2 linked regions of the Arabidopsis thaliana genome follow. The protein of the gene in region 2 interacts with the protein of the main gene of each other region in a pairwise test. Each region holds a gene or a part of one and is shown on either strand. Other genes may lie near its edges.

Region 1 (4,584 bases), on a different chromosome or scaffold from region 2:
AATGGAGCGGTGCCGGCGCCGGAGAGAAGTCCCGGCCAGACGGTGTAGTTACACTGGTTAACGATGGTGAACGTGGTGGAGGAACCACCATTGATGAAAAACATAATCGCTAAGAGAAAGCAAGAGACTTTAGCCAAATCCATTGTTACCGTTTGATGTTGTATGATTCAGGAGAAGTTAGGGATCGTGTTTATATAAGAGAATCGGGGATTTGTGTTATGGAAAGTTTCATAATATCAATTTTCCCTATATGAGTTTTGCCATTACAGAATCCGATACATGTTCACTCATCATTTCCTTTATTTCAATATTCTCATTAATACTTGTGAAATGGAAATTACGAATCAAGCTAGTATACTTGTTATCCTTTTCGAAAATTATACATTTTTTTTTTATAACTATTTGTTGAGGATCTCTTCCTAAATTCAAAACTAGAAATTTAGATAAAGGTTAGAGGAGGAAAAAGCTCTCTTTTGTTTGTTAAGGAAAAAGTTATTTAGTTTAAAGACTTTGATAGGAAAGAGACATGTATGGTGTTGTGTAGTAAGTTAATTGTACTGGAATTGGTGGGATTTTGTATTAACGGAAATAAAGGAGGTGTTGGACATTAGAAGCTTGTCTTTGTATATGTTAAGAAAGATCAAGTCACTTCCAATAACAGAACACGTGGGATCCAAATGTTTATATCCGAAAGATTCAGCTAATCACAAGTGTAATTAGGTTAAAAAAAACTAACGGGATTAACTTCATCATCTTCTTAAAACATCACGGTAAGTAGAGAAAAAGAAACCACGAACTGACGAACAGGCATAGGCACTACAAGATCACGCACACCATGTCTCTCCTCTGTTCAGGAGATTCTCCTAAAACAAGATCTAAGTAATCTAAAATATCAAAAGATTATTCTTAAGCTAATATCTCTGTTTCATCAAGAACAAGAAAAACAGCAATGCAGAGTATAAGTAAACCAGTTACAGGAAAATCTTTAAGCTCTCCAACAAAGAGGAACCAAGAAAGACTTGTGACTCATCTCTTTGTATTTACAAGTTAGTAAAAAAAAGTCTCAAATCTTGGTATATAACAGAAGTGACCATAACAGATTGAATTTTCAAGTCATACAATCACACTCATTGCAAGGAAAGACAAGAAACTGTAAATAAGCAAGCACACATATCATTCAAGATCTCAAACTTATGGCATCAACAAAAGCAGTGAACAGGTTGCATAAACCAGTCAAAAGAGTAATATAGAGAGATCAAAAACTCCCAAAACAACCATTCTTAAACATCCTAAACGACTTTAGCAATCACATTATAGTCACCAAAAAGGAGCATTAGGTAGATTTTAATAGAAAACAAAAGAGGTTTATGAACATTACTCTTCTTCTTTGCATCTTTTTGTTAAGCAACCGAAGTACATTCCCTCGCAAAGTGACCTTCCTTGCCGCAGATGAAGCACTTGTTACTGCCACCGCCACCTCCGCTGCTTCCACTTCCTCTCCGATCACAGTCACGAGCCAAATGGCCAGTTCCTCCACATTCGTAACAAGCACGACCACCACCACCACCACCAGAAGGTATCTTGCTGGTGCAAACTTTCGCAATGTGGCCAACTCCGCCACAGGTATAACAAGTGCTTCCACCACCTCCAACGTTTCCACCGCCGTTTTGCCTACAATCCCTAGCGAAATGTCCCACACCACCACACATGTAGCATCCATCACCGCCAGATCCACGACCACCACCTCCTCCGTATCTGTTTCCACCAGAACCACCACGACAATCCTTTGCCAAATGACCAACCTCACCGCAACTGTAACACGGACGACCACCTCCTCCTCCTCCGCCGCTGTTTCCACCACCGCTTTGCCTACAATCCCTAGCGAAGTGTCCCACATCACCACACATGTAACATTCACCTTCGCCGCCAGATCTACGACCACCACCACCTCCAAAGCTTTTCCCACCACTTCCACCGTCACAATCCTTAGCCATATGACCAACCTCACCGCAATTAAAACAATTACCTCCGGATCCACGGGAGCTGTTTTCCTTCTTATTAAGTGAACCGCCGCCGGGAGCAGTAACTTCAATGGCCTTAGTCTTTCCGTCGCTTCCAAGCGCGATTTCGTATTCAACCGATTCACCAAGAGTCAAGCTACGGAATCCATCGGAGACAATTGAGGATTGATGAACAAAAAGCTCTTCGCCGCCATCATCGGGAGTAATGAAACCGTAGCCTTTTCCATCGCTAAACCAACTAACTTTTCCGATAGATCTCGCCGCCGATTGATCTTCCATCGCCATTAGATCAGAGAAAAAGGTTAACAAAAACTCGAAGCACTTTGTTCGTACAAAGAGAGGAAATGGGTAAAATGAAAACCCTAAATTGCTACTTGCTAGATCTATTAACCCCAAATTGACCTTAAATTCGCCACGTCAGCTCCTTCTCTATCGGCGGCAGTTACCACGTGTGCATTTTGGATCAGGCCCATGGTTCACATAATGAAATGGGCCTATTTATGTAAGAGTTTCAAAAGAACTAAGCAAAATTGATAAGGTTTGATTTCACACTAACTTTAAAAAAAATGCTTGAGATGTTTTATCATCTCTTAACCATCCCCAAACTCTGGGAATTGGATGAAAATGCAGTCTATAATTATCACTTTTTGCAAAAAGAAAGGGATATTCATAGTAAATCTAAAGTAAATATGACATGATTTAGATTATTATGTTATACTTCTACTAGAAGAGAAAGTGTTTCACACTTTTGGTTGTTTTATCTAAACAATATATTATATTTTGATATTATATCTATTTTTATGCAACTTATTTTGCATCCAAATTTTCAATATCCCAGCTCACTTTTTTAATTCAATGAACCAATACATGGATGATATTATCCGAAGTTCAATTGTGAAGAAAAAAATGATTCGATCATATTTTCTTCTAGAAGCAAGAAAAAAAGAACATCCCAATTACTTAAACTAATTATTGGATATCTATCGTCTATTATATATATATATATATTATATATTTTGATAATGTATGGTGTCGAACATCAACAATCTTCTGCTTCCCATTGTTTATGGACAGCATAGCTTTTGTCATGACAATGCTATACTTAAGAAAATGACAAGAGTTCCTTTTTTTATTTATTTTTCTTTTAATGACAATAGTGAATTTATAATTACTTTTTTTTTGTTCACATTTAAAATAGTTATATATATGTGAAAAGAATATGAGTTTTTTTTTGTAAATATTATGAAAGATTCGTGAGATGCAAATGTTCCAGAACATGGCATGTTGAAACAAGAGTGACACATGGATTATGATGACGAGAAGAAAAGAACCTTGTCTGTCGTATTTGCTTAGCTATTTTGGTGGCCCTGGTGAAGGCAATTTAAATTGACTATAATTATTATCATCATAAACGTCATGTTAGTATAACTCTGAAATTCTGAGCAAGAAATTTGACCCAATGTTAACTCTTTGAAATACCGTTATTTATATAACTTTTACCCAAAAAAATTAGAATCATAAAATTAACCCATGCATGCATACCTAGTTGATTGCACAACGTTCAAACTAAAAATGTTTATAACGCCCATAGAAAAAACTCTCAGTAACCCTCCACATACACATATCACATACATCGGAATTCACGATATGCGATTGTAACGTCTCTAAAAATTACTCTTTTCACAGTCGCGTGACAGGAAAAAATTCACTGCCACCAAGGCAAACAACGTTATCGAACTTTCGATAGACTAAGACCATGAATGGTAACATAGACCACACCCAAAACCGCACCGCAACAGTATTAAAATCTTTACATATATATGTATTTATGTATTTTTGTTACTATTTGACATAGATCTTCTTTTCTTTTATTGTCGATGTCGGCTGATTGTGCGACTAGAAAAAAAACACTCCCAGCTTTTTAAATTAGGTGACTACAACATAATACAACTAAAATTTTCTAAGAATGCTATATGATTTCAGTATGTAAATCTTACCTGTAACAAAAAAAATCTGTTTCTCCAAGGCTACATACTATTGATTGCTAAGTTGGAACACTTTAAGTTATACATAAATTTTTATTTTCTTTATTAGATGGTAAATACTAAATACAGACTACTTACTACTTATGGATACAAAGGCTAAAAACGCGACAGATCCTACGTGGCACGATAAACCGTGTTGATCCTACGTGGCACAACCACCCAGAATCTCTGGGTTTGCTCTAATTACAACCAATTCAATGGTTTTGGACCAACTCGACACATCGAGTCAACTCGCTACCAGCACTGATCGGTTTCCCAATTCCGTCCACCGTAACTGCCGTATCCAGCCGTTAACGGCCGGCTCCGAAGAAGAGTCCTCCGATCATAAACGGCGCGTTTCTCGGGATCCGAAAGCGTGCAATACGCTGCGTGGATCTTCATGAAATCGTCCGCCGACGAGTTATCCCGACTATTTCTCGCTACATCGGGATGACAGATCCTGGCTAGTCGCCGGTAAGCTGATTTGATCTCTTGACTCGTCGAGCCGACGGGAATTTCAAGGATCTCGTAGAGAGACG
Region 2 (6,745 bases):
CAACCATGCATGCTAATCAAAGTTAAGTTATCGACTGATTTTCATCTACTTGATTCTTTGATTATTTTTGTAAATTAAATGTGGTAATTTCTAAGGTTAGTTTGGATTTCAGCTCAAAACTTAATTGAAATGTTTACTTGGATTTTGTAACTAATATAAAAATTACTAAAATCCTTTTTTAACGTGAATGTTATATGATACCAAAACGTTAAAAATTATATTTCAAAATTCATATCATCATATGTAGTGTATTTAGTATTTACACGTGTGTGTGATATATTAATCAGGAAGAGAAGAGTGTGGCTTGGAACTTTCGAAACGGCAGAAGCGGCTGCAAGAGCATACGACCAAGCGGCTCTTCTAATGAACGGCCAAAACGCTAAGACCAATTTCCCTGTCGTAAAATCAGAGGAAGGCTCCGATCACGTTAAAGATGTTAACTCTCCGTTGATGTCACCAAAGTCATTATCTGAGCTTTTGAACGCTAAGCTAAGGAAGAGCTGCAAAGACCTAACGCCTTCTTTGACGTGTCTCCGTCTTGATACTGACAGTTCCCACATTGGAGTTTGGCAGAAACGGGCCGGGTCGAAAACAAGTCCGACTTGGGTCATGCGCCTCGAACTTGGGAACGTAGTCAACGAAAGTGCGGTTGACTTAGGGTTGACTACGATGAACAAACAAAACGTTGAGAAAGAAGAAGAAGAAGAAGAAGCTATTATTAGTGATGAGGATCAGTTAGCTATGGAGATGATCGAGGAGTTGCTGAATTGGAGTTGACTTTTGACTTTAACTTGTTGCAAGTCCACAAGGGGTAAGGGTTTTCATTGTTTTCCGGTTTTTAATATTTTTAAAAAGTTTATTATGTGATGGATTTCCTTTATTTATCGATTATACATGTAAGAAAATTGTCAAAAATACATGTAAAAAAATGTAATATATACAGATTTGTATTTTTTTGTGTGATGAAAGTATACATGCTTGTTGTATTGATTGATATAAAAGATTGTTCGATTTAAGTATTCTCTTGTTTTAATTAATGGGCCTACAATTTTGTTGGTCCTTCAAACACAAACATATATACATATACATTTTTGCAGCCACTTTGTAAAATAAACCTCAAGTTGAGACTTATTTACAGTGGCTGCCACTGGCATTTAATAATTATTTTTGATAATTAGAAAGTAAATCTTCGAATTAAATATTTGACATTTAACTATATTCCCAAAATCTCTCTACATTAACTACACGATTAGTTACTAAAATAAAACTTCCAAAATATTTAACATCATTTAAAAATTACAAAATTATCATTTTTGATATTGCTTTTTTGCATGACTATAACAATTCGATTATACGCATCAACCCACAGAGATATTTGATAGCAATTAATTATTACAAAATTACAAAATATTTAGACAATGATTCATAAACATATCATAAATAAGATCAATATTAATAAAATAAATAGTTTTTTTTACGGGACGGATTGGCGGGACGAGTTTAGCAGGACGTAACTTAATAACAATTGTAAACTATAAAATAAAAATATTTTATAGATAGATACAATTTGCAAACTTTTATATATACTAACTTAAAAAAAAAATATTGTCCCCTGCGGTATAAGACGGGTTAAAAATCTAGTTGTTATTATTAAAGGAAATAAAATATCCTCATAAAACAATTTGTTGTAATCTATCTTTGGGCTAATGTTCTTATCCTACAAGACGAACCCTGACCGTATTCGTCGTAGAAAAAAAATTGCTTCGATCCCATCATTGAGTTCAATAATCGGCGCACAAAGGCCGATTCATAAAAACTCTAGGCCCATTAAAGTAAAGCCCATTCTCAACCCTATCCAGTCTCCCTGTATATATATATTTACGACACCAACCCAGCGTTGATATTTAATTTTCTTCAGTCAGAGATTTCGAAACCCTAGTCGATTTCGAGATCCAACTAACTCTGCTCCTTATCTCAGGTAAAATTCTCGCTCGAGAACTCAATTGCTTATCCAAAGTTCCAACTGAAGATGCTTTCCTACTGAATCTTAGGTTAATGTTTTGGATTTGGAATCTTACCCGAAATTTCTCTGCAGCTTGTTGAATTTGCGAAGTATGGGAGACGCTAGAGACAACGAAGCCTACGAGGAGGAGCTCTTGGACTATGAAGAAGAAGACGAGAAGGTCCCAGATTCTGGAAACAAAGTTAACGGCGAAGCTGTGAAAAAGTGAGTTTTATGGTTTCCTCGATATGTTTCATGTATACTACTGTGTGTTTAAATTTGTCGATTCTTAGATTACTACTTGATAACAAGTAGCAGTATGTGTTTAATTAGTTGCTTAACATATAACAATTGACTGAGTTCTTCATTGCTATAATTCCTGAAACCCACCCAATATTAGACTGTCGTGTGTTTCTCATATTGTATTTTCTCTTTGTGACAGAGGGTACGTGGGAATACACAGTTCTGGATTCAGAGACTTCCTTTTGAAACCGGAGCTTCTCAGAGCTATTGTTGACTCAGGATTTGAACATCCATCTGAAGGTAATTACCAATAAAAATTCAATTTTGTTGCCTTTCACCATTCTATTACTGAATCTGAATGATATGGTAGAATTTACAGAAGTTTCTTCTCCATAAGCTTTTTAGGTGTCCGGAGACTTTTAATTATATGTACTTCGTCTAGTTTTGAGAAGATATGTTGGTTTAAGATATTTTACTTTATCTGGGTCCCTTGCTTATCACCTAACTAAGTCCAAAATCCAAAAGTTTTGTGTTGATTATAAGGTTAAATTCTTCTTTAGTTTCCTGTAATAATTTTTTTTAGTTTTCTGTCTATTAACGTTTCACTGATTACTTTTTCCAGGTAATAAACGCTAATTTCGATCTATTGATTTGGAGTGAGCTTAACATGTGCTAAAGCCACCAATTTAAAAGATATGGAGGTTATCATCTACTTATAAAGGGTTTCTTCGGTGCTATTTTCTTTGGTTCTCCACCAGTGCAACACGAATGTATCCCTCAAGCTATCTTGGGTATGGATGTTATCTGCCAAGCAAAGTCTGGTATGGGGAAGACTGCTGTGTTTGTCCTGTCTACTCTACAACAGATTGAACCATCTCCTGGCCAGGTTTCTGCACTTGTCTTGTGCCATACAAGAGAGCTAGCTTACCAGGTATGACCTTCTTGTTTCACTCAGGTTCTTGGCTTATAGTCGTGTTTTACGTCTTCAAGTTCTCTAATGCTTACTATGCCTTGATGCTGAAAATTACTTGCAGATCTGCAATGAGTTTGTGCGATTCAGTACCTATCTGCCTGATACAAAAGTTTCGGTGTTCTATGGTGGAGTCAACATTAAAATTCACAAAGACTTGCTGAAGAATGAATGTCCTCACATTGTTGTTGGTACCCCTGGTCGAGTGCTTGCACTTGCCAGGGAGAAAGATCTCTCTTTGAAGAATGTGAGGCATTTTATTCTTGATGAGTGTGATAAAATGCTCGAGTCACTTGGTATGCTGATTTCTGACATCATTATTACATCGATCCCTGAATAATTTTATGTTTTAACACTTCAACTTGTCTTTACCAGACATGCGAAGGGATGTGCAGGAGATTTTCAAGATGACTCCTCATGACAAACAAGTAATGATGTTCTCAGCAACGCTCAGCAAAGAGATACGCCCAGTCTGCAAGAAGTTTATGCAAGATGTAATGTTCCATGGCCAATTCTCTCTCCCTTTGCAAGTCTTCTAGTTTTCATCTATTTTTAGCCTTCTATGGGTGATCATAGCATTATTTGAGCATCTTCTGCGGTTCTGCCCTTGAAAAGCTGAAACTGATCTCTGGATGGGTCTCAATCCAATAATGCTTTGGGTAGTTTCTAGAGAACGAGACTGTGAGTGTGAGACTCTTTAGCTTTGGTATGGTTTCTATCGGTGATCATAGCATTATTTGAGCATCTTCTGTTGTTCTGCCCTGGAAAAGTTGCAACTGATCTCTGGAAGGATCTCAACCTAATAATGCTTTGGGTAGTTTGTAGGGGTTGAGAACTCTGAGTGGAGACTCTGTAGCTTTGGTATGATTGAGTGACCGTTGCACAACAGGATTTCCTTTCATCTTAACCTTTTATTCAGTTTCAATTTCTTTGAAAATCTAGCAGTGGTGGGTGGGTTTTGGGTCGGGGTACTGTGTTTTCCCAAGGTTTCATCGTGCTCGTATGGGTCTCAATGTTCCGAGCAATATTGATGTTTCATAGCAAAACTCACATCTTTGAAGAGAAAAGGTGGACGAGGATCTCAGTTCAGGGGATCTCCATCCATCTTCACTTTTGTAGTGTAAATCATTTCCTGAGGAAAGCTAGCTAATACTTCTTACCTGGTATCTGTTCCTTTCAGCCAATGGAAATATATGTTGATGATGAAGCCAAGTTGACTCTTCATGGACTTGTCCAGGTACGTTTAACTGGTTTGAGGTCTTCGTATTCAATGTAAATATATGTTGTTGTTTGATACTTAAGTGACCTTTTTTCTGTTCTACTGTAACAGCACTACATCAAACTGAGCGAGATGGAGAAAAATCGCAAGTTGAATGACCTTCTTGATGCGTTGGACTTCAATCAAGTTGTCATTTTTGTGAAGAGCGTGAGCAGGGCTGCGGAGCTGAACAAGTTACTGGTGGAATGCAATTTCCCCTCAATATGCATACACTCTGGCATGTCTCAAGAAGAGAGGTTTGTACATTCTCTTAAAAATTCAATGTTTCTGAAGGACCCTACCTGCTCTTAAAGCCCTCATGGAGAGTCCAATTCTTAAGCCTAATACGATATGTTATGTAGGTTGACTCGATACAAAAGTTTCAAGGAAGGGCACAAGAGGATCCTTGTGGCGACTGACTTGGTAGGAAGAGGGATTGACATAGAGCGTGTCAACATTGTTATCAACTATGACATGCCAGATTCTGCGGATACCTATCTTCATAGGGTAAGTATATAATCCTGAGATTTATTATTTGATCGTTGATGAAAGGGCTCTTGTAACTTTACCGTTTTGCTGTGTGTATGGGATAGGTTGGGAGAGCTGGTAGATTTGGAACCAAGGGTCTTGCAATCACATTTGTTGCATCTGCTTCAGATTCAGAGGTCCTTAATCAGGTATGGTGTTTGATCTTTTAATAAATTCCATGGAAAAAGTCCCCATGATATTGAGTTGGGTATTTAGTAAAGTGGCAAGTATAAATGTTGGACAGGTTCAAGAGAGGTTTGAGGTCGATATAAAGGAGCTTCCTGAGCAGATTGATACATCGACTTACAGTAAGTTTTAAATCCCATTACTAAATGTGAAAAAGGCTGGTTTTGTCTGGTATTGATATTAACTTAGTTTCTTCTTCGTATTCTTTGCTCAGTGCCGTCTTAAACAAGTAGCATCATCTCTGAGGAACGAACCTCTTCAGATTTCAACCTTTTAGGTGTTCAAAGGGGTCATGGAGGTCCACAACTATCTCTCACACCGTTTGTTGCTTCGCTATTTTAGACTTTTCTATGAGGACAAGTTTTTCCATATATTTAGACCGTTTTGTAACTCTTGAAAAATGAGATTGAGCTACTCTCCAAATCGCGCACAGTTGAGAGCTCTCCTGTTTTTTGTACTAGTGATGGTTATCTTTAAAATATTAAGATTTCAGGATTTATTCTTTGGCTTGATCATTGATTAAATGTTCCTAGTGAATTGATCTAGTTTGATGCAAAGCGAATATTATTGAATGTTGATAAGAATCCTGAACGTAAATACCGTCTTTTATGCTGACCAATGAACAAATATTTCATGTAATAGTAGTAGGTAAGATTTAAGTTTGCATCAGTCTATCTTAGATACATTTAAACATATTTGAGAAAAGGATTCCTTAAATATTATGATTATGCAATCTAAACAGTGAAAGAAATCTAGAGTTTAGGTTTGACTATGCTGACTTTAGCCTTGATAGTGGCGCAACTCTTCTAATGGGTATAGTGTTTGAGGTCAGTTTCTTACGACGGACCAAAGCTGTGTCGACTTCCACAATATGATCTCCAACATTACCTTCTTCATTGACTTCTTCTTGAGCTGCATTGGCTTGATCATTTGGTAGATTGGGTGAAGCATTGTGTTGTCTCTCTTGGTATCCTCTAGAAGCCAACATGAGTAAGAGTAGAATCACAGAAACAACAAAGACGATCAGAAATAGAGCTTCAAAGCTGTGGTGGTCGAGCTGGATTGGAGAATCTGATGTAGTCGAGTCCAGACAATGTTTTTCTCCAAGGAACCACTTGTTCTCTATAGCTTTCATGGCATCTCCCTCTGTTATGTTCAAGATCTGTCTTGAAATATCTGACACCAATGGAGATCCTAGTGGAAATGCCTGCAAAAATCATTGAGATTTAGTATCACTTCTGAATGGTGCCAGTGTAGAAAGCTGCTTTTAGTTCATCGTTCACAAGTTTGGTGCGTACAGGCCAAAACGTTTGAATGTTAGCTAAAAGTGGTTTTGACTACAAGCGGTGTACCTCTCTTCTGCTGCCACCATTAAAAGTCTAAATAAAAAGCAATCAGCTCCACTTACAAAGCCAAAGCCATCAGCCTTAAAGGTAGGCTCGATGATGGAATACTCTGAGCAATACTTAGCCATGAAAAGCTTGATATAAGCGACCTCATCGAACGCAGCATCAATCCCGCCATTGCTGCTCTTGTGAAGAAAAAGTTCACGCATCTC

What was found.
Region 1: the proteins of UAP56b (region 2) and CSP3 interact in a two-hybrid assay, tested with the Arabidopsis thaliana proteins (one study listed by BioGRID).

What each region holds. Positions count from the first base shown.
Region 1 is NC_003071.7:7,762,876-7,767,459, forward strand, and holds CSP3 (cold shock domain protein 3), read right to left. Parts: upstream 2,402-4,584; 5' UTR 2,307-2,401; coding exon 1,401-2,306; 3' UTR 653-1,400; downstream 1-652. Other genes in the region: AT2G17860 (Pathogenesis-related thaumatin superfamily protein), read right to left, coding at 1-143; AT2G17880 (Chaperone DnaJ-domain superfamily protein), read right to left, coding at 4,301-4,584.
Region 2 is NC_003076.8:3,565,275-3,572,019, forward strand, and holds UAP56b (DEAD/DEAH box RNA helicase family protein), read left to right. Parts: upstream 1-1,900; 5' UTR 1,901-1,978; intron 1,979-2,095; 5' UTR 2,096-2,114; coding exon 2,115-2,227; intron 2,228-2,444; coding exon 2,445-2,545; intron 2,546-3,003; coding exon 3,004-3,176; intron 3,177-3,279; coding exon 3,280-3,511; intron 3,512-3,590; coding exon 3,591-3,709; intron 3,710-3,878; coding exon 3,879-3,921; intron 3,922-4,040; coding exon 4,041-4,076; intron 4,077-4,160; coding exon of another isoform or gene 4,161-4,201; coding exon 4,202-4,299; intron 4,300-4,395; coding exon 4,396-4,452; intron 4,453-4,545; coding exon 4,546-4,730; intron 4,731-4,835; coding exon 4,836-4,980; intron 4,981-5,066; coding exon 5,067-5,150; intron 5,151-5,245; coding exon 5,246-5,309; intron 5,310-5,401; coding exon 5,402-5,412; 3' UTR 5,413-5,741; downstream 5,742-6,745. Other genes in the region: SHN2 (Integrase-type DNA-binding superfamily protein), read left to right, coding at 288-777; GLR2.5 (glutamate receptor 2.5), read right to left, coding at 5,957-6,394, 6,596-6,745. UniProt on the Arabidopsis thaliana protein: ATP-dependent RNA helicase involved in pre-mRNA splicing. Required for the export of mRNA out of the nucleus. In addition to ssRNA and dsRNA, binds dsDNA, but not ssDNA.